Oryzias latipes: one gene and its partners. The protein of the gene in region 3 interacts with the protein of the main gene of each other region in a pairwise test. Links are inferred from orthologs where the notes say so. Each region holds a gene or a part of one and is shown on either strand. Other genes may lie near its edges.

Region 1 (5,436 bases), on a different chromosome or scaffold from region 3:
CCACGGGGAGCCCAACCAGACGCAGCCCCGCTGCTGTGGTGCAGCGTTCGGCCAGAAACCCTCCAGTGGAAGCTTCAGTTCCCAGCTTACCAGCGGGAGCAGCTGGGGGGGGCTGGCTGGCTTTTTCACCCCGAGACTCATCAAAAAGACGCTGGGGCTGCGGAGCGGAAAGACGGCCTCCTCCGACGAGGGCGGCGGTTTAGGCGCAGGACCCAAGCCTTTTCCTCGGTCCAATTCTACCTCCTCCATGTCAGCGGGACTGCCAGACCTGGAGCGCATGGCCCTGACGTTACCCAGAAACCACAGCGCCAAGCCCCTCCTGGAGAGGACTGCCTCCACCACCTCCCAGCCGGAGAACGGGGCCGCCAGGCCGTCCGAAACCCTGCTGAAGAGGATGGACGAGGGCACCGCGCAGATCAGGGAGAGGCCCAAAGCCAAGCTGCTGCCCCGCGGGGCAGCCGGCAGGGCGCCGGGCGTGGGAGGGGAGGCGGGCTCTGACGGCACGTCCCGGACCAGAGAGGAGAGCCCGGGGCTGGACCGGCAGCAGAGCTGGTCCTCCCCGTCTAAGGGGAGCATGTCGTCTGCCCCCACTCACAACCACAAAGTCCCCGTCCTGATCTCCCCCACCCTGAAGCACAGCCCCGCCGACGTGCATCTGGTGGGGCTGGACTCTCAGGGGAACCGCTTCAAACTGCTGTCGGAGAACCAAGCAGACAAAGACCGGCCCCGGCTGGTCAAACCCAAATGTGCTCCTCCTCCACCTCCCACTCTGCGTAGCCTGCAGCCCGCCCCCAGCGGCAGCGGAGAGGACCAAGCCCCCGCAGAGATGAACGGAGACACGCTGAAAGGTCACAGGTCGGGGCGAGCGTCAGGAGGAGCCAGCAGACCGTCAGTGCCACCACCTCAAGTGCCTCCTGCTTCTTCCTCCTCCTTTTCCTCCTCGTGCCCCGCCAGCGCCAACACAACCCCCACCAAAATGGCCAACGGAGCCCCCACCACTGCTTCCTTGCACACAGCAGCGTCCGTGGGCTCCAAGGGGGCCCTGCGCCGAGCCCGGCAGCAGGCGGAGCGGGTCCCTTTGGAGCGGGTCAGCCGGGAGGCCCTGCTGGTGTGCGCCGAGGGGCTGAGCAGCGCCCTCCACGCCAGCTGCGAGAGCCCCTCCAGCAGCCAGGTTCTGGACGCCGGCCACCAGCTGCTGGACTGCTGCTCGGGTTACGTGGACTGCATCCCTCTGACCCGGAACAAGTTCGCCTTCCGGGAGGCTGTGGGCAAGCTGGAGCTCAGCCTGCAGGAGCTGCGGGCGTCGTCCTCGGGGGGCGGGGGGCTGGGCCACACGGGACCCAACGCCGTGTTGGACAACCTGCACAGCTGCATCAAAGAGATTAGTGACGTGGTCCAGAGGTAGCCGCTGTGACGTCACTGATCCTGACCGTCACCACGGTTCTGGTTCCAGCCAGAGCTGTTTATGAGGGGCACAACATGAAAGTACCTCACGGAAATCACTACAACATGTCTTCTTTTGTTTACAAAAAGCGGTTTTCATAACATGCCAGTGTGGACGCTATCGCATCTCACAGCTGTAAATATCCAGAAAGAGTTTCACCCAACACGCCGTTTCCATCGGGCAGTCAGAACGGCCTCCTGAAGCGAATGTCAAGGGTCAAAGTGAAGGCGTCCATGACCAGCCTTACAGAGGAAACGGCCTCCAAACCCAAACCTGACCTTCTGGGCTCCGTGCTTCTTTAAGTCTGACAGTTGTGATCAAATGAGAAAATTTGACGCGTTAATGGAGGCGTTTGGGTTCAAAATGGTCAGAAAAATGGCTGAAATGACAGTTTGGTCCGTTGTGAGAAGGGTCGACTCATGGAACCGTGTTTACCGTCTGTTCCCCACAGCGCTGAACCGTTGAAACGGCACTTCTGCTCCTCCGTGACGTTCCCAACTGTCACGTGTGGAACGCCACAGTCCAGAACTTCCCACCAAGTGGACGCTGCTGCACACTGAATGTTGGAGGAGGTGCTATGGGGAGCCACATGGGGGGGCGGCTCAGCTCTAAGTGCCCTTCACAGCGCCGGCCGGACGCCCTGCAGCCTTCTCCTGTTTACAGTGCCTCAGATTTTTCCCACTTAACAAAACCAGTGGAACTAAAACCTACAGCAGGTTGCAGTATTTCTCCAGCACATGAGTTTGTTTGTTTCAACAAATGTCTTTAGAATGTATGAACTTGAATTTTAAATTATTCTTTTTTTTTTTCTTCAAAGCACAGACATATAGAGGTTTATAAATATGTGATTTATTTCATGTACACACAAAGTGTGTGGCCATAGAGAAACGTCCACCCAGATCTGAACACGCGCTCTGAATGTATTGGTCTTCTGTTCTGAACCCGGTCAAACGTGTCTTTGCTTCTCTAAGGTGCCATATTCTTTCCTCAGTCACACTAACTGCCCACAGGTTGCTTATTTGCCCCCCGAGCACACATCCTATGTACACTGGATATGATCTGAGACGCAATCAACCATAACAAATGCTGAAGAATCGGACAACACTGTAGCTCCAACACACATCTAGCAATGAAACTTGATGGAAGTTATTGGGTTGAATTATTTTGTGATGAAATAATTTCTCCTTTTTGTGTTTTTGTCATTTTGGTGCCTTTTTGTAGAAAATCGACAGTAACTTCAAGGAATCCCTGTATGTCGGCGTACCTTAAAGGCTGCTTTAAGAAGCCATAACATGAACATCTATACGGAGGTGTAGTTTGATCAGTGATGCTTGACAAGAAGACACTAAAACTGCAGCCCCCCCCCCCCCCCCCCCCCCTCTTTGGACAGCCCTTCAAAATGTTTTATTGAAAATATAAAAGTTATATTTGCCATAAAACTCAATGGTTCACGTGTTTTTGTTTTTTTTCCTTCCTCCCGTTTCTGCTACTGGGTTCTTTCTCGTGCTTTTATTTTGTTTTTACAATGTCTCCCTTTTATTTTGAAAGGAAAGGGGGTTCTGGAGAATGTGTGTACACAACATGATACCAAAGGCCACTTCTTCAGTTGGATTAGTGCAATGTAAGATCAACACAGACACACCACAGTGAATGAAACAGGGATAAAATGTCTGATGTTAACTTTTTTATTGTACAAAAATATGATTTTTTTTATTTAAAGCTCACTTTATGTTACTGTGAAGTTGTGCTTATCAGTGTTAAGCCTATTGTAAATAATAAAGATTTTGATGAATGCGTCTGAGTCTTTGCTCCTTTTTGTGACTCAGAGATTTTCTAAGAAAACTTTTACATGTGCTTATTATTACATGTAGTTGTTGTTAAATATTGTAAAGATGCAATAAGAAAAAAACTATAATATTTCTATAATATTTGATAAAACTAAACTATTACTATGAAAAATATGATTGAATCTCTTTTTCAACTAGATTATAATATTAATCCATCAGAATTTGCATTTATCCTCTGCAATAAAACAGATAATCTAAGGAGTTTTGCCATCATTTCTGCTATTTTTTTAACAATAGACAAAGACAAACTTTAGGAAACGGAGATGCTCTGCATAGAAATGAACCCAAAAGATTCTACTACCTTTAAATGTTTGTCATTGTGTTATTTTGAATACGCTGTACTTTATTTTACATTATATGTGAGAAAAAGTTCTGGTAAAATTACAGATCCAGAAAAAATGGATCAGCATGATTAAAAATCCAAATATGTTTTCCATTTTAGAAATTGTTTCACAGAGCAGCTGCTTTTTTAAGATGTTCAAACCAACATCTGTTCTTTATTCATCTGTCTCTTTATTTAGGAACAATTATGGTTCTGTCAAAGTGCTAAATAAAGTCAATAGAGTAGATCTTCATTCATTCATTAAAAAAGTCTTAAAAGCGTTGAATTTATGAATTTAGAAATAATGCCTTAAGAAATGTTTAGAATAGAATGGATCATCTTTATTTATCCCTCAAAGGGGAAATTGTCTTGTCTTCGGCAGCAAAAACAGACATTCACAAATACAAACAGCAAAAACGTGGCTTTCACAGAGGATAAAGTGAATTTAAACAAAAATAAATGAGTGAAAATACAGAGCAAAAGCAGCCGTTAGAGATAAAAAAAACTACTGCAACAGAGGGTCAAAAGGCCTGACGTGATGTCTGAGCCTTAAAAATTGTGTTGTTTGAAACTTCTCTGTTTCATACGTTTTGTCAAAAACACAATAATTTTGATCAAATAATGTAAATAAAGAGCGGAAGAACCAACCGTTATGGACGGTGAAAACCCCACTGCCTGTTCAGAAAAAGACGTGCCAAAGCATCGCAACACAGACCACAAACAAGATCAGAAGCTGCAGTTTGGATCAGAACACAGGAATAAATGAATAAAAAGGGGAAGGAGGCTGAGAAGTTAGTCTTAATTTTTTTTATATGCATGGCTTTAAAAAGGTCTTTGAATTCTGAAATTTAACTTAAAGATCTTTGTTGGAACACAGGGTCACAAGGTCACTGTACTCAACCCAGAAGCTGAAGGTTGGAGGTGAAAGTCACCCTGAACAGTTCTACCATCAAACATCTCAAAGGTTCTTCCTCAGTCCAGATCAATCCAGTGAGATCCGGGTGTTTTCGTGGCCTACCAAGGTTTTCTTTGTGTTATCCCCACGCTGAGCAAGCAGACGGCGACTGTGGAGAGGGAAACTCCCTCTGTGTGGAAGGAATTCCTCCAGCAGAACCAAATTCAGAAACCATCTGCTGTGAACACACTGAGAGGACGAGGAAGAGACGATGAAGATGCTCATGTGAGACAAACACGGACGGTCAGAAGCTGCAGCAAAGAGGGAAAAGAATGAATACAGCTGGGAATCTGTTAATGAGCAACAGAAAAAGAAGACAGTTGCTCAGGAAGATGAATAATGTTATCAATTCTGCATTTTGCAGCCTTCAATTTGGAGTCAAAAATGACAAAAAAAATCCAGTTTTCAGTAAAATGATGTTTTACTTTCAGAAGTCATTATATCCACATATGATGATAATAGGGCCTGTATGTCAGCATTGAAACATACATTGTTCCATATAGAGCCGGAATTCTGACCTTTTATTTATTTATTTTATTTTTTTCTGAAATGTATTTAATTTAAACCAGGAAAATAAATCAGCAGACATAAACATTAAGCTTTTACCCTTCATGGGTTTTATCAACAGATTAAAAAATGATATTAAATATTGATTTTATTATTATTTAAGTTTATTATTTTTTAATGATTATTTTGCTGGTAAATTTAAAACTGAAAAAGTTTTTTTCTGACTGAGCATGCGCCCGTGACGTAAGAGGCCACGCTGGCTCCTCCCAAACCAGAGCCTGTTGTAAAGATGGCGTCTATCATGGAGGGGCCGCTCAGCAAGTGGACTAATGTCATGAAAGGTTGGCAGTATCGCTGGTTT
Region 2 (6,869 bases), on a different chromosome or scaffold from region 3:
GTGACAAATAAATCAAAGTTAAAAAATATATTAAGCAAAATGTAATCTTTGATGCATCACCAAATGATCAACTCTGCACTTTTATTCAGGTCACATGTCACACGCCTTTGATGAGCTTCTCCATTGAAAAAAAACACCTGATTTTAAATATTAATGCATCAAACCGTTTAAAAATTCCAACTGATCATCAAAGGCAGATCTTTGTGAGACACATACTAATCACAAGAAGCACAACAGGCCTGTTAAAAAACAAGAAAAAATCTCAGAACCTGCTTTTCGTCACCAAAAAGTTAACTGTGGCTTTGTATTTCAGAAAATAAAGATAATGTAACATACCGATATATTTATATACGTGCTGAAGAAAACCAGTTAATTTGAAAGGGAATGCAAATAACAAATAAATAAACTGTAAAAATACATTCAAATTTTTGAATACATAAAGAATTGAGCAAAAATTGTAAGTTACATGTGATATTAAAAATTAGCTAACATTTACTTGAGTAATCTATTGTTGACCTCCTGAAATGTGCTCATAAATTTCCCCAATTATAAATAAATGCCTCTTTTAAAAAGATTACATAATCCAAAATGATAAATTTTTGGATTTTATGAGTTTTCAAACATTTGAGATGGATACATCCACGAATGTAAGCTGCTTTAGATGTTATTTTCATGTGAATTAACTTTATATTATTTTATATTAATTTCACTTTTGACATGTGAGCAACCATGTATTTACACTATTTTAAATAGTAAAAATATTTTATTTTTTAATCTTTTAAATTTGTAAATTTAAGGTTTTTGAAAAAAATCTTTGGTCTTTGGGTTTTTTAGTTTTTTTTTATACTGAACATTACTGTTTCATTACTGTTTTCAATACTTATTGGAAACCACTGAAAGCCACATTTTATTAGTGTATGTCAATAGTTGCATTAACCTGATATTTTTAGCAATTAATCAAAGTAAAAGGTTTCTTCTTTTTAAATCCCTCAATGAGACAAAAAGATCGGTGTGAGTTTTGTTGTTTCTTATTTTCTTTGCAGCTGAACCGAGCTGGAGGAGTTCTGAAGACCAACCACGGCATCCTGCTGAAGTCTCTCAATCAGTCAGATGCCGGTCTCTACCACTGCCTCGCCACTGAAAACAACTTCAAACACACGCTGGCTCGTGTGGCTTTGCGCATCCTCGACCGAGACATTGTCCTAGCACTCACCGCTCAAGATGAGGATGAGGAGCTGAAAACTCGCCAGGCGCCAGCCTACCCACGCCTGCCGGACTCTCCCACTCCATTTTCCCCGGAGATTAGACTAATCAACCAGTACTGCCAGACCTACTGGGAACCGGACAACACCAAACAACAGCAACAGCGCAAACGCACCAGCCGCAGGCACACAGAGAGCCAAGACCAGGGGCTCGGTTAGAACCTTGAACACCACCTGACTCGGGCCTGAATGGACTTTATTATGCTGAACTTTTCATTTTAAACATGTTGAGGTGTGACTTCCACTTATCACGTTACTGATGACATGTCTCTTTTTCGGTAAAGTGTTGATGGCTTTACAGGTGTCAGCCCTGAAACATGCATTTAAAATAAAGTTTACACAACTGATGACCACAAGCTAAACATTATGCGTCTGTGAATGCCAAAAAGCAACTTTATTATCATGTAAAGTCACTGTGGTTAAAAAAAAAAATACTAAGATAAATGAATAGTCAAACATGGAGGCTGCTCAGTGAAATAAAACACACTTTTCATAAAAGTTTGGAAAGAATCTGACAAAAACGCATAAGTATTGTGTACATTGTTGCATTAAAACATCCAAAAAACAGGTTTGCTTTCTTTCAAGAATCCTAAAAATGTAATATATTGATTGTGGATATAATATATGTGTTCATGACCTGTTCTACCATTGTATTGTATGAAGCGTATACTGACATAAATGCATATTTTGCATGCATATTGCTGTTTTTGCAAGTTGTACAATTGACTGTTGTTCCGTTTTCAGACTTGCCATGTTGCGATCTTTGTGAGGTGTAATGTATTCTGTTAAGCTAATTCCATTGGATGTAGATGTATAATGTTCGCCTCAGTGTCCTGTGCTTTTGTGAGCTATAGTGTGTGAATATTGAAGATGTGTGTAGCATACAGTGTTCTTCCAGTTATGCACTTTGTTGGTGGTGGCATTTGAGGGAAACAGGGATCTTTGCACAAAAAAATCTCTTTTTTATGTACAGTGTGTTATAAACTGGGTAATGAAACTGGCTTAGCAGTGCATTGATGGTGTTCATATTTTGCAGATTTACAAAGTAAATATGTACAATAAGAGCGAACAAAAAAAACTTTAGAAACTTTTCCTTAGAATTCTGGTAAAATGCATTCTGTATAAAACTTCACAGTCCTCAGTGTTAAATCTTCCCTTTTAATTCATAAAATACCAAATAATTGAGTCACAATTACTAAAAGTCAAATAGGTGAATAAAATAAGTGTTGGATATATGTCAAATAGACTTGGTTCATCATGATCATAGGAAACAGCTTTTCATCTTCAAAATCATGACCCAAAAAGTTGCTCTACTTGTGGCCCTTTGAGACATTTAAAATCTTTAAAAATAAGTTTTGGAAATTAATATGGATAGAACCATATTTAGGGGGTTTGAGACATGCTGTTTTTATTTTCGGAAAAGGAAGTGAATCCTACAGTGGAACATGGTGGTTGGTGGGACTATAAAAAAGATCCTGAAAATATTTTAAAGAATACTGTGAGCAGCTTTAAAGCATCTGCTGGTCTGGATCTTTGTGAAGGACAAAGACTAGAATTTTATCTTAAATGTCTGCAAGAACAGCTAGCTTAACTGTACCCACCCACGTGCCATTACACTTGTGTGTATATCCACTTAATCACCGACATGCCTTTAATACATACACTATATTGCCAAAAATAGTCGCTTCTCTGCTTGGACATAGATGAATTGAAGGGACATTGCTTCCACAAATCATTGGGTTTAATTGGAGGTTGGACCATTTTTTTCAAAATGAAGCTACCTTCACATCGCCCTCTGTAACACATGTTCACGTGACCACTTTTAATGAAAAGTCTGTGGAAATGCATGTAAATGCATGTTTTGGACTACCGTGTTAAAAACTCTCCCATTCGTGCATAGCTGTAATATTTTCAAGTCCATTTTCATGCTCTACATACAAAACGCGCGGTCAATGAACCAGCATTGCAAGTTAAACCAGGTTGAACTTTGACCAATGAGGGACTCAGATTTGGTAGTGACGTTTGGATGCCATCCCTTTTAATTCACACAAGTACAAACCGTTTGAAAATTGATCACAGAGCAGAAATGATCATGTTTTGTGCACGGCTGGAATTCTATGACATATAGACTTTCATATGTCGGAATAGAGCCGGAAAAGAAAAAGTCTGGAGTAAGATTCAAAGGATTTGCACCGCTTCAACATTTTGCACCAAGCCTTTCCCAACTGTGGGTGGCAGACATGCACTAGTAAAAAGCAGCAAAAGAAAAAGAAGAAGAAGAAGCCCCTCCCTACTAGTCCAGTGTGAACCCCATGGGCCAAATCTGCATTAAAGAACCCACGTTTAGCAGGTTCTTGGAGGTACATCACATGCCCGATGTGTCCGTAGCTTAACAGGTTTTACCACCAATGGGAAGGCTTTTCACAAGGGTTAATGGGAATGTTTGAATATTTTTCCAGAAGTACATTTGTCCAGTCAGACACTACTGTTGAACAATTATTGGCTCACAGTTTTCTCTCTAATTCACCCCAAGGCGTTTTATTAGGTTGAGGCCAGTCAAGTTCCTCTACACCGAATTCCTCATCCACGTTTTCATGCTCCTTGATTTCTGCACTGGTGTGTGGACATGTTAAAACAGAAAAAGGTCTTCTCCAATTGGTTTTCACAAAACGGAAAGCATGGAATTGTCAAAAAATCTTCTAAATATTGAAATATTGAGAAATTCTTTTTCTTAGAACAGAGGAGACAAGCTCAGCTCATGAAAAAACAACCCCACCACCAAACTTCATACATGGAGAGAACTCTTCAAAACTCTTGTAGCGGTACGGTATCTGATTTACGGTGTGTGGTTTGGGTGCAGATGCTGAGTCATGGAAACACATTCAATGAAGTTTCCCCCCGGTTTTGAACTAATTTGAAATCGGACGTTTGGAGGTTTGTAGGTCACAAATTTGGCAACCTCTGCGCACATCACATCAGTAGGAAACCCACCACCCATTTGCTGTTCGCTTCCACTTGGTCATAATATCCAGCAGCATGAAGGTTTAACAACTGTACCTGTTGCACAGGTATCAACCTATCCCATTGCGCCCCATGAGATCACTGCTAACCTGAGAACGATCCATTCTTTCCCACCCAATTACAAAAACAGTCTGCATTTATGAGTCGATGACCTTATACACCTGTTGTCATGGAAATGGCTAAAAACACCTACATTTAATTTTGCAATGAGTGAGTAAATACTTTTGGCAATGTGAGTACATATACATGAGTCATAGTCCAGTTTGAAATACGCGAGTCTGTGCCGAATTCATTGTATTTAACAGTTAAAAAGTAAAGAAGACACAAAAACCATCAACGTAAGATCAGTCATCCCATTCTTCATCGTCATCATCATCATCTCCTCCCTCATCTTCACTTTCATCTGAAAAGTGAGGACATAAAAATGTTACATTTGTCTTCTTCTGACAGCTCAAGTCAAGCACGTATGTGATCACAGCAGTTGATTTCCAGCATTTACCAGAGGAATGGATGACTTTACTCCTCTTCTGCATGACCATCATGAGAGCACCCACAATGCCCGGGGCCGGTTCTGCCGCCGCAGGTGGAGCTGGATCAGAGTTCTCCACCTGTATCAGAGAGGGAGGATTAAACAGAATTTTTATAAATCTTAAAATTAATAAATAAGTAAATTAAACATGGAAATCTGAAAACTGATTATCTTTTGTATTTCTTGGAAAAAAATAACCTTTTTGAGACTTTTCCCTAGTCGGATCTGGTCAAGCAGCGCTCCTCTGCCTTCTCCTCCCGCAGACGTCTGTGCAGGTTGTGGGGAATCAAAACTTGGTGGAGGAGGTGGAAAATCTGAAGGAATGGGGGTTTGAGGAGGTGGAGGTGGGGGTGGTGGAGGCGGTGGTGGAGGTCCCCCTCCCCCTCCCCTGGTGGGTGCTGATGGGACAGGGGGAGGAACCCCCATGGAGCGTTTGTTTGATGATGATGGTGGTGGGGGTGGTGGCATGATGTGGGAGGACACTTGGAATGAGGCACCCTGTTTTGAGGAGGGTGGAGCCTGCGGAGGGGGTGGGGGTAGGCCCCCTCGGCTTGATGGAGGCGGAGGTGGCAGGCCCCCACGTGGTGGAGGTGGATTTGGAGTCGGGCTCCCCCGCTGGGATTGACCTGGGAGCGGTGGTAGAGGGCCGGAGCGACCTCGAGGGGGCGGAGGGGCTGGAGCGGAAGACCCAGAGCCGGGCAGAGGAGGCAGGGCTCCCTGTCTGCCATGTGGAGGTGGTGGAGGTGCAGCAGCTGGTAGAACATGTGAGTTATGCATTTAGCAGAGGCTCTGAAAATGATCAAACGATCAAACATATGCATCCAACCTGCTCTGTTTGCCTCCTGTTGGACAGCTTCAATTCCCCCGGACTGCTCAATGACATTATAGATGAGCTGGGAGGTCTTCTCGTCCTTGAGGTCAGCTTCACTAATGCCCGCCTGGGAGAACAGCTTCAGCAGATTAGGGTCAATGTTATTGGGGTCCCATCCAACATGCGACACATGCCTGGCAGAGAGGAGAGCAGGAATAAACAGACAGCAACACATGAGTACCTCTAAAGACTCCATTTCTTACGTAAACCCGCTGGGAGCTCCTATGTCTGCCTTGGACAGTTTAGGACCTTTTTTCTTGCTTTTCTTGCTTTTCTTATTATTAATAACTACAGCTGTAGCAGCAGGGGGTGGAGGCATGGTGCGATAACGTGAAGACTGGATGTCTGGGTTTTGGATGTCCACTGTTGCCATGTGAAAGGAACCGTGGTTACCAGCTGCTGCTTTTTAGAAAGAAATTCCAATTAAGACACTATCATATATTTATTTAATTTGAAAAAAAAATATTGAAACCACAATTTGAAATTGAATTTGAAAAAAGACACCTTTGTCAGGAGGAACTGGAGGCAAGGAACCTCGATCTACAACAAAACAGAGGAGAAAAAATGATATTCTGAAATGCAGGAGGAATTTATCCAAAAATAGTGTAAAAAATGTGTATTTACCAGGCGTCGGTAGGGGGCGCTGTTTCTTATCTGTCAACAGGAAAAAAAATTCAGGCCACCAAAAACACTTGAATGAGTGCAAACTGTTTCTTTCAGTATTTTAACAACAAAAAATCTTACCATATAACTTAAAAACACAGAATTTGTAAATATTCAAACATGCATTTACTTTATTTGCCACTTTCCTCTGAGCCCCGGATAAAAACAGAAGTTCAGTTCATCGGAAATGCAAATCAGGCACAAACTTGTCGCGTTCATGATTCTATCTGATAATCCCCACAGAAGAGATGCTGACCTTGACGGTTGTTTCTTTGACTGATTTTCTCCACAACGGCATTTTGGAAAATTTCTGCTTCGCCTTCATCTGAGAAGTTCAGCCCCACTTGACAATCCTTCAATGAGTTTACACAAGCCGATGCATTAAACCACCCCACAAGGTAGAAGATTATGATTTAAGAAGGGCAGATCAACGAGCACTTACATCTGCAGTGAAGGTGTGAAAAAACGTCCGTGGAGTGGAGTAAATGATTTGGTTGTACAGCTCCTGCTCCCAAACCATTTT
Region 3 (6,987 bases):
ATTGTTCTACAACTTCTTTTATTTGCTGTTTTTACATTACTGAGTGAGGGATACAAACTACAACTGTTTTTCTAAGAAATGGTTTTTATGTCAGCTATAGTTGCAAAGTACAAGAAAAACTGAAAATGAACGTGGAATATTTTGGTGGTAATATGAATTAAATTATATATTTTTAAAATGTTTTTTTTTTATTCTGTGTTCTCCTTTAAGTTTAATGTAAATTGAGGTTGGCCCATTAAATAATTTTCTTTATTGGTAGACAGAACTCAAAAACCTGCAGTTCCTTATCTCAAATTCAAAAGAGTATCCTTTGCTTTTTTTAAAACTTCAAAATTAGTGTTGTTATTCTGATATATTAAAGTATGGTGCACGCGTTGATCAATTCCTTTCATTTCTTACCAGGGGCTTCAACTTTTTTCAGAATTGCCTCAAAAATTGCTTGGAGGAAAATTGTTCAAAAGTGATGGTACAGGCTTAGCATAAGGAGGCAGACTGGATGATGGGTTGTCATGGAAACTTAAAATGTCCAAACATCACCATTTAAGTAAAAAAAAAATTGTATCATAGAATGTTTTACATTTGGGTACATTTAACTCATCCTGGGAAAACTACATTTGTTCTGCGTGGTCCAGTTTTCAGTCTGACTTAGACCAATGCTGAATTTATAGTGTAAGCAGTTCGCTGTTCCTCTAATTTTGACTTGTGGCTTCACACAATGTCTGCAGTCTCACAATACACAATACAATGCCAAATTGCAAATAATCTGTTACAGAGAAATGCCATAGGTAAAAAAAAAACAACCTATGTTTATTTTATTCCAACTGAACAAAAAAAAAAAATTTACCGTAAATTAATGATGAGGTCAACATCACAGCAAATCAATCAAAATGATTAAATATACTCTAATCTGTTCAGTTTTACTGAAGAATTATTTGTGACTCCAAAGAACAGAAATAAAATCAAATAAAATATAATAAAGTATGAAATCCACAATTATACAGTTTGAAGTAAAAGGGGTTTAAATAATCCCCATCCTGACCATGTGCAGAGCAGCTGGTGACCGTATAAAGGAGGAAATATGCCTCTTCTTATTTTCTTTTTTTAAAGAAAAATCCACTGCAAAGGCAAAACGACAAAGTGTGGACTTGGACCTTAACCAGTTGGGGTTGAGGAAACATAAAAAAAAAAGAGACTGAAATGTTACAAAACCCCAGTGCTTTTGTGATATGCACTATGAGAAAAGAAATACTGTTTTGTTGGTAAAAAAAAAAAGGAAGGAGAGAAGAACTGATAGCCACACAGAACTAAATAGGATGACTTTAGACAACAATATCTATACAATTCATCCAGAGATTGTCCTTCTATACGGTAAAGACTGTGTATCGAGGCTCTACACGAGAGGAGCTTCACATTTTTTCACATAGGCTTTGATAGCCAAATAACCTGACATAGATTCACAGAACAGGCCCAAACCATGATGCTACCAACAATATTGATTACAATCCAACTGTTGCAAGTCCTTTTCTATTTATTAATTTAAAAAAAATTCTACACATTCACATCATATTTTACTTTTATTTTTTTACATATTTTACTCAACATAGAAAATATTATTGCAATTATTTGCAGTTGTGCTCTAAAGTTTCTAGCTCATGCAGCTTGTAGGAAAACTTTATCATGTTTTCTGTTTTATTTATTTTACAAACTACATTTCATCTTTAGCTCTTAGTATTTTACATATTTTGTCTGCACATATTTCTTTTGTGGTTGTTGTCTTTGTCTTGTTTTCCTGCTGCTAAGCCTGTGACATAGTTGATGAGGTGGGTAGAAGAAGAAAAAAATGCAGGTAGGCATTTATTCACTTGAACCAGCTCGATAAAAACCACAGCTGCTGCCGGAAACCTGTGACTGCAAACATGGTTTTCAACAAATAAAAGGCCTTCTCTCAAGTCAAAGCTTAGTTTTTCTTTATGTTTACGCTTTCAAGTTAGTACATTAAAAATATGTTTTTTTAGCCGTTGATCATTTTATGAAGCAAAATCTGTGTTTCATCAATAAAAAAAATACTGAATAGAAGGACACTTGTTGAAACCACATTAACCATTTCCAAAACCTAAAATGCATTTTCAATTAACTAACACATACAAATCCCATTTAAGCCATTAAATGCATCATGAAAGAAAACCAACTTTTTTATGACAACCGTCACAGGAAGAACAACTATGTTCAGGTAAATAAGGCATCCTATAGGAGTTACCATCACAAAGTCATTCAAAGAAGTTATCGATATTCCAAAATTAGCTTTAGAGGTTTTAGAACATAAACTACCACAAAATTTTCCTTAGTTTAGTTTCTCTGAGTCACAGAAGAACAATCCCAAGAATTCTTTCTGGGTGACATTTTAACCCGTTAAACCCGCCGTGTCATCAAGTGAAAGCCGCAAAGCATCTGAAGGAGCTGCACAGGAAGTCACTTGATAACATTGCTGCTGTGAACATCAAGCCCTGAGTCACTGACTATCTGAACTAGAGGCAGATCTGCCACACAGGAGGGATGTTCACCATCACCCCCTGAAGAAGACACGGGGATCTTGCATGGCACAAAGTGTGGCTTAAAATAGCCACCAGATTACAATCAGGGGACAGATGCCAAAGGGTTGACTTGCTCCACAGGTTGACTTAAGAGCCAAACATTCACAAAACCAATTAGGGCTGCAGAGCTTTGTGCAGCTAGACAAGTGAGATCACACCAAACACAAGAGTCACGGTAAAATATCCACAACACCTAAAATCAATACTAGATTTTATGCATTTATCCATGACAGTTTATTAGGTTTATTGTTGAGAATTTCAACTAAGTCTATTGTAAAGTGGCACAACTAAATAGAGGGGGGAAAAATCTGGAAAAAACAAAAAAGCCTAAGTAAAATGTTTGATAAACACTGGGTCCTTGCACGAATCAAAGTAGGACAAAAACTAATTAGGCTATCGCAGCAACCAGCACAGGATGATAAAAGGGACAGGGGAAGAGGCCTAGGGGGAGACTGCAATGAGGTCAAAATCTCCCCTACCCTGCATCTCTGCAATGCTCCACTTCAGACTATTCAGGTTTACAGGGAGCATGTGCATGCTTCTGTTCTGAACATGCTCAATCCTGACAGTGGCGATATATAGTTTCTGAACCCCTTCATTTAAATGCATACCCAGTCCTGCGCGCGCACAGAAGGTGCATGATGGTACAGCAGTGATGTGGGATGTTGCCAAGAAACAGCACATCAGCTGATCAGATCTCTATGTAAACTAACACAAAGGACGCTGTCGTGCATCGGTGACTGAACAGGAAAAAAAAATGCATGTTTGCTGCGTCCTGTTTGAAAGAAAGATGACTTTAATCTAAAAATGTTAGAGCAAATAAATTGTTTGATTTTACTTTGAAGTAAACGTTTAAAAGTCGAGATGCGTTCATGACCAAACTTTCTTTAGACACTGATTACAAGCTCTTTTCCAACTCTCGTCTTTCAGAGTCTAAAAATATGTATATTTTTCACTTTCTGAGTTTACACAAGAGTCGACTGATGAACTCACCCAAAGGTCCGTGCCCCAGTCCATGTTCCGCTGGGTTTGCAGCGCTTTCTCCCGAGTACAAAGAAGTTCTCCAAAGTTATCCCAGCCGCTCGCAGGGAGGGAGGCCCCGCAAAAAGCTCTAATCCCGACGCGCTGAATCGGCCTCAAACACGACACGCTGCGGGGTTGATTTCGCTTGCAAATCACGTAAAACCCGCATCAAGATGAAGTAATCAACCTGGGCTGGCAGTCGTTAGGCTTGTTAGTCCAAATATTTTTCATAGCAAAGGAAACAGGGACAAACTGGCTCTCATGTCCGCGTCACTCCCAAATCCTAAATCTTAAAGGGCCAGCGCGCTAAAGCCAGGCCCTCCGTGCCACATCCTGACGGCCTGCAGGGGCGCGTCCAGCACACAGGGGGGTCAGGGGCTCAACAACCAGTACGGGTGACTTCACTGAAGCAGTACTCCAAATATGTCATATAGACAATTTCATCTGACTTCAAATGAAAAGAAAAACAAATAAAAACAGACATTTTCAAATGTGCCATTTTGGTCTCTTATTCTAAATATATATTGAGATAAAAAAAAAAAACATTTCAAAGCAAACAAAACGTTAAAAAAATTACAAAACAGAAATGATTGTTCTTAACATGCATACACATAAAAAATCATACCAAATATACTGCCAACCTTCACTAATAAAAATAACTGACATTTACCAGCTCTGTTTCTGTATCAAGTTTGCAAATATTTTAACACAATTCAGAAAAACCTAGCTCAACAGACTTCAAAAAAGGATTATGTCTGTTGTTCAACATTCCATACACTACCAAAACTGAATGGTTAGAAAGAAAAAAACTTTATTCTTGCAAAAAAAAAATTGTTGTTGCAAAATAATTTTAGTTTAAGAAAACATGTCTTCTTGACTAGAATTTTCTTTCTCAAGAAAAAAAAGTCTTGGTAAGACAATTTTTTTGTGCTTATTTAAAGAAAAATTTTCACATTTTAAGACGTTTTGACTTATTTGCAGAGTAAACACTCCTCTGATTGGTCAAAACTATTATAAATAATAAAAATAAATTCTCAGCTTGGCAGTCATGCAAAAAGGAAACGGACCTTGACTACAGTTAGCGTGTGAAATGTAGCTGCAGTCAAAACTGCAGTAGAAGAGGTCTGCCCTTCTTTACTGTCACATGCCTGTAACTGTTGGCAAACTTATTTTGGGGGCAGCAGCAGCTCAAAGTGACACTTCCAGTCACAGCATCTGATCTCAGTGACTCTGGTATCAACGTTAAATAATATCTGGTTTGTTTGGTGAAGGAAAGCTTAATGAGATTTATATTTATGTATTTACAGCTTTATTCTAAATACGTAGGCATCAATTGTTGTCTTCACATGCACAATCAGTGCCCAACTGCATGCAATGGTGAATTGGACACTTTTGAAGATAAAGCTGTTAAAAAATGATATTTTTTACTCATTTTATATCCATAAAAATAGGATATTGCGTATTTAATTTTAACACTGTAAAGCAATGACACAGGATTAATTAAATCATTTTATGAAAAAAGGAAAAACCTTTTGGTTTGGCTTTGATTGTTCAGCATGTCCACAGCCAGCTGAGGAAGATGAAGTTCCTCATGACCACCATATCAACCTACAGTCAGCAGACAGTCTGACTTATCTTGAATTTTGTACAATACTTTCTGTACTATCCAGATAAAGTGTAAAACAAAAATTATTCCAAACAACTTCAGATTTGGATACCTCTTCACAAGTAGCATCCAGGCTTTAACTGTCTATCAACGCTCATATTTGCTCAGAAATGCTGAGTCTTCTTTCAGTTCCCCAATGACGCACGACGGGTCTTGGAAAAATGAGTTTCACTTTATCTTTGCAGAGCTGAAACTGATTTATTGAGTTGATCAGTACCAGGTTTGTAGTATATGTTTGATTAGAAATTCAGATGTATAAAGAGAACGATCATCTCAGCGCGGTTGCATTGACACGGTTGCATTGACACCTCAAATTTGCCTTATTTCTTTCCACAACAATTTAATCAGGCTTTGTGAACAAGTAATATCGGTTACGTCCAAACAACTCTCAGTTTCCTTTTTTGAGTACAGTTTTTACATTTTAATGTGCAAACTATTACGTCATAACCGTAAGAGTTTGTCACAATTTCCTAGCATATTAGTTGCTTGAGAAACTGAGTAATGGACCAGCCCCCTTTAAAAGTAACCGTCTCCAAAGCTAAATTCAATATTTTCCATCATTTATTAAGTTGTCACAAAATCACTTGATTTTTGTTCTAACATCAAAATAAATGAGAGAAGTCAACAAAAACTGGAAAATCTATTCCCCTTTCTCCATCTTGTAAAGAGGTGGTATTTATTGTCACATGAATAATAATATACAATAACATGAATACTTTTACAAAAAAAACATACATTTCTTTAAATTGAGTTACTGAACTAATTGCTCTTAAAGGATATATGTTGTAACAACAAAAAAGTATGAAACTTGAAATTTTCTATGATATACAGTAAAAATGTAACTTGAAAACACAAAACACGTGTGGGTCAACACAACACAAGTTTGTTGATTTTACTGAGGTAACAGCATTGTGCTTCCGTACCTAAGGATTCGCTGCAGCAGTTATATTAATCATGGGGATCTGTGAGGGCTCCTGGTTTTTAACAACATTATATTTGCCACGTTTTCTCTTCTTGTAAAAAAACAAAACAACCAAAAAGACGAGGAGGAGGGTGAGGAAGATGCTACAGATGATGATCCACAAAACAGAGCCAGAGAGAGGCCCATCACTGGTTTTCCCTGTAAGATAAACCAAATAACCTACATAAAAATTGTGTTTTTCATCTGTAATCCACTTTGTAACCAACCGAAGTGTTTCCCCCTCAAGCAATCCCCATACATACCCATCTCAATCAGTAAAACAGATCTTGTCACCCTTCCAAGTTTATTTGAGGCAACACAGATGTAATGGCCAGCATTGGTAGACGTGGCTCTTGTGATGGTCATGATCTTGTGGCGCCCCACAGTGGCCATATGCAGATTCTCAGCAGAAGTGAAGTTCCAGTGGGTCTCTGGTTCAGGGTTGCCTTCAGCACTGCAGTCCAAAGTCATGTTTTGACCGGGGATTATCTCCTCGCTTGTGTTTCCCTGGTTGAATTCAGGTGGATCTATGGATGGAAGAAATGATGTTCCATTTAGCTCTAGTATATTAATTTTTGCACAGCTGTAATTGTGTGAAAGGGTAAACATACACAAAATCTCCAGATAAAACGTGTGTTGGGCTGTTCCGTGCTTGTTGGTTGCTTTGAGGGTGTAATTTCCACTGTGTTCCTTTGTCAAGTGCCGAGTGGAAAATACCTCTGCTCCATTTTTGAGCCAGGTAATTG

Evidence for each region.
Region 1: the proteins of trip10 (region 3) and abl2 interact in binary tests that used the Homo sapiens proteins (3 or more experiments, as listed by UniProt). The link is inferred for Oryzias latipes from reciprocal best matches to the Homo sapiens genes TRIP10 and ABL2.
Region 2: the proteins of trip10 (region 3) and was interact in a two-hybrid assay, tested with the Homo sapiens proteins (2 studies listed by BioGRID). The link is inferred for Oryzias latipes from reciprocal best matches to the Homo sapiens genes TRIP10 and WAS.

Annotation. Positions count from the first base shown.
Region 1 is NC_019862.2:31,427,503-31,432,938, reverse strand, and holds the end of abl2 (Abelson tyrosine-protein kinase 2), read left to right. Parts: coding exon 1-1,405; 3' UTR 1,406-3,245; downstream 3,246-5,436. UniProt on the Homo sapiens protein: Non-receptor tyrosine-protein kinase that plays an ABL1-overlapping role in key processes linked to cell growth and survival such as cytoskeleton remodeling in response to extracellular stimuli, cell motility and adhesion and receptor endocytosis.
Region 2 is NC_019865.2:21,093,021-21,099,889, reverse strand, and holds the end of was (wiskott-Aldrich syndrome protein), read right to left. Parts: coding exon 6,789-6,869; intron 6,700-6,788; coding exon 6,603-6,699; intron 6,338-6,602; coding exon 6,308-6,337; intron 6,224-6,307; coding exon 6,188-6,223; intron 6,086-6,187; coding exon 5,887-6,085; intron 5,818-5,886; coding exon 5,639-5,817; intron 5,565-5,638; coding exon 5,011-5,564; intron 4,892-5,010; coding exon 4,783-4,891; intron 4,687-4,782; coding exon 4,628-4,686; 3' UTR 1,632-4,627; downstream 1-1,631. Other genes in the region: semaphorin-3F, read left to right, coding at 1,044-1,421. UniProt on the Homo sapiens protein: Effector protein for Rho-type GTPases that regulates actin filament reorganization via its interaction with the Arp2/3 complex. Important for efficient actin polymerization. Possible regulator of lymphocyte and platelet function.
Region 3 is NC_019866.2:8,477,340-8,484,326, reverse strand, and holds the start of trip10 (cdc42-interacting protein 4), read right to left. Parts: upstream 3,934-6,987; 5' UTR 3,609-3,933; coding exon 3,585-3,608; intron 1-3,584. Other genes in the region: icam5 (intercellular adhesion molecule 5), read right to left, coding at 6,204-6,400, 6,505-6,768, 6,853-6,987. UniProt on the Homo sapiens protein: Required for translocation of GLUT4 to the plasma membrane in response to insulin signaling. Required to coordinate membrane tubulation with reorganization of the actin cytoskeleton during endocytosis.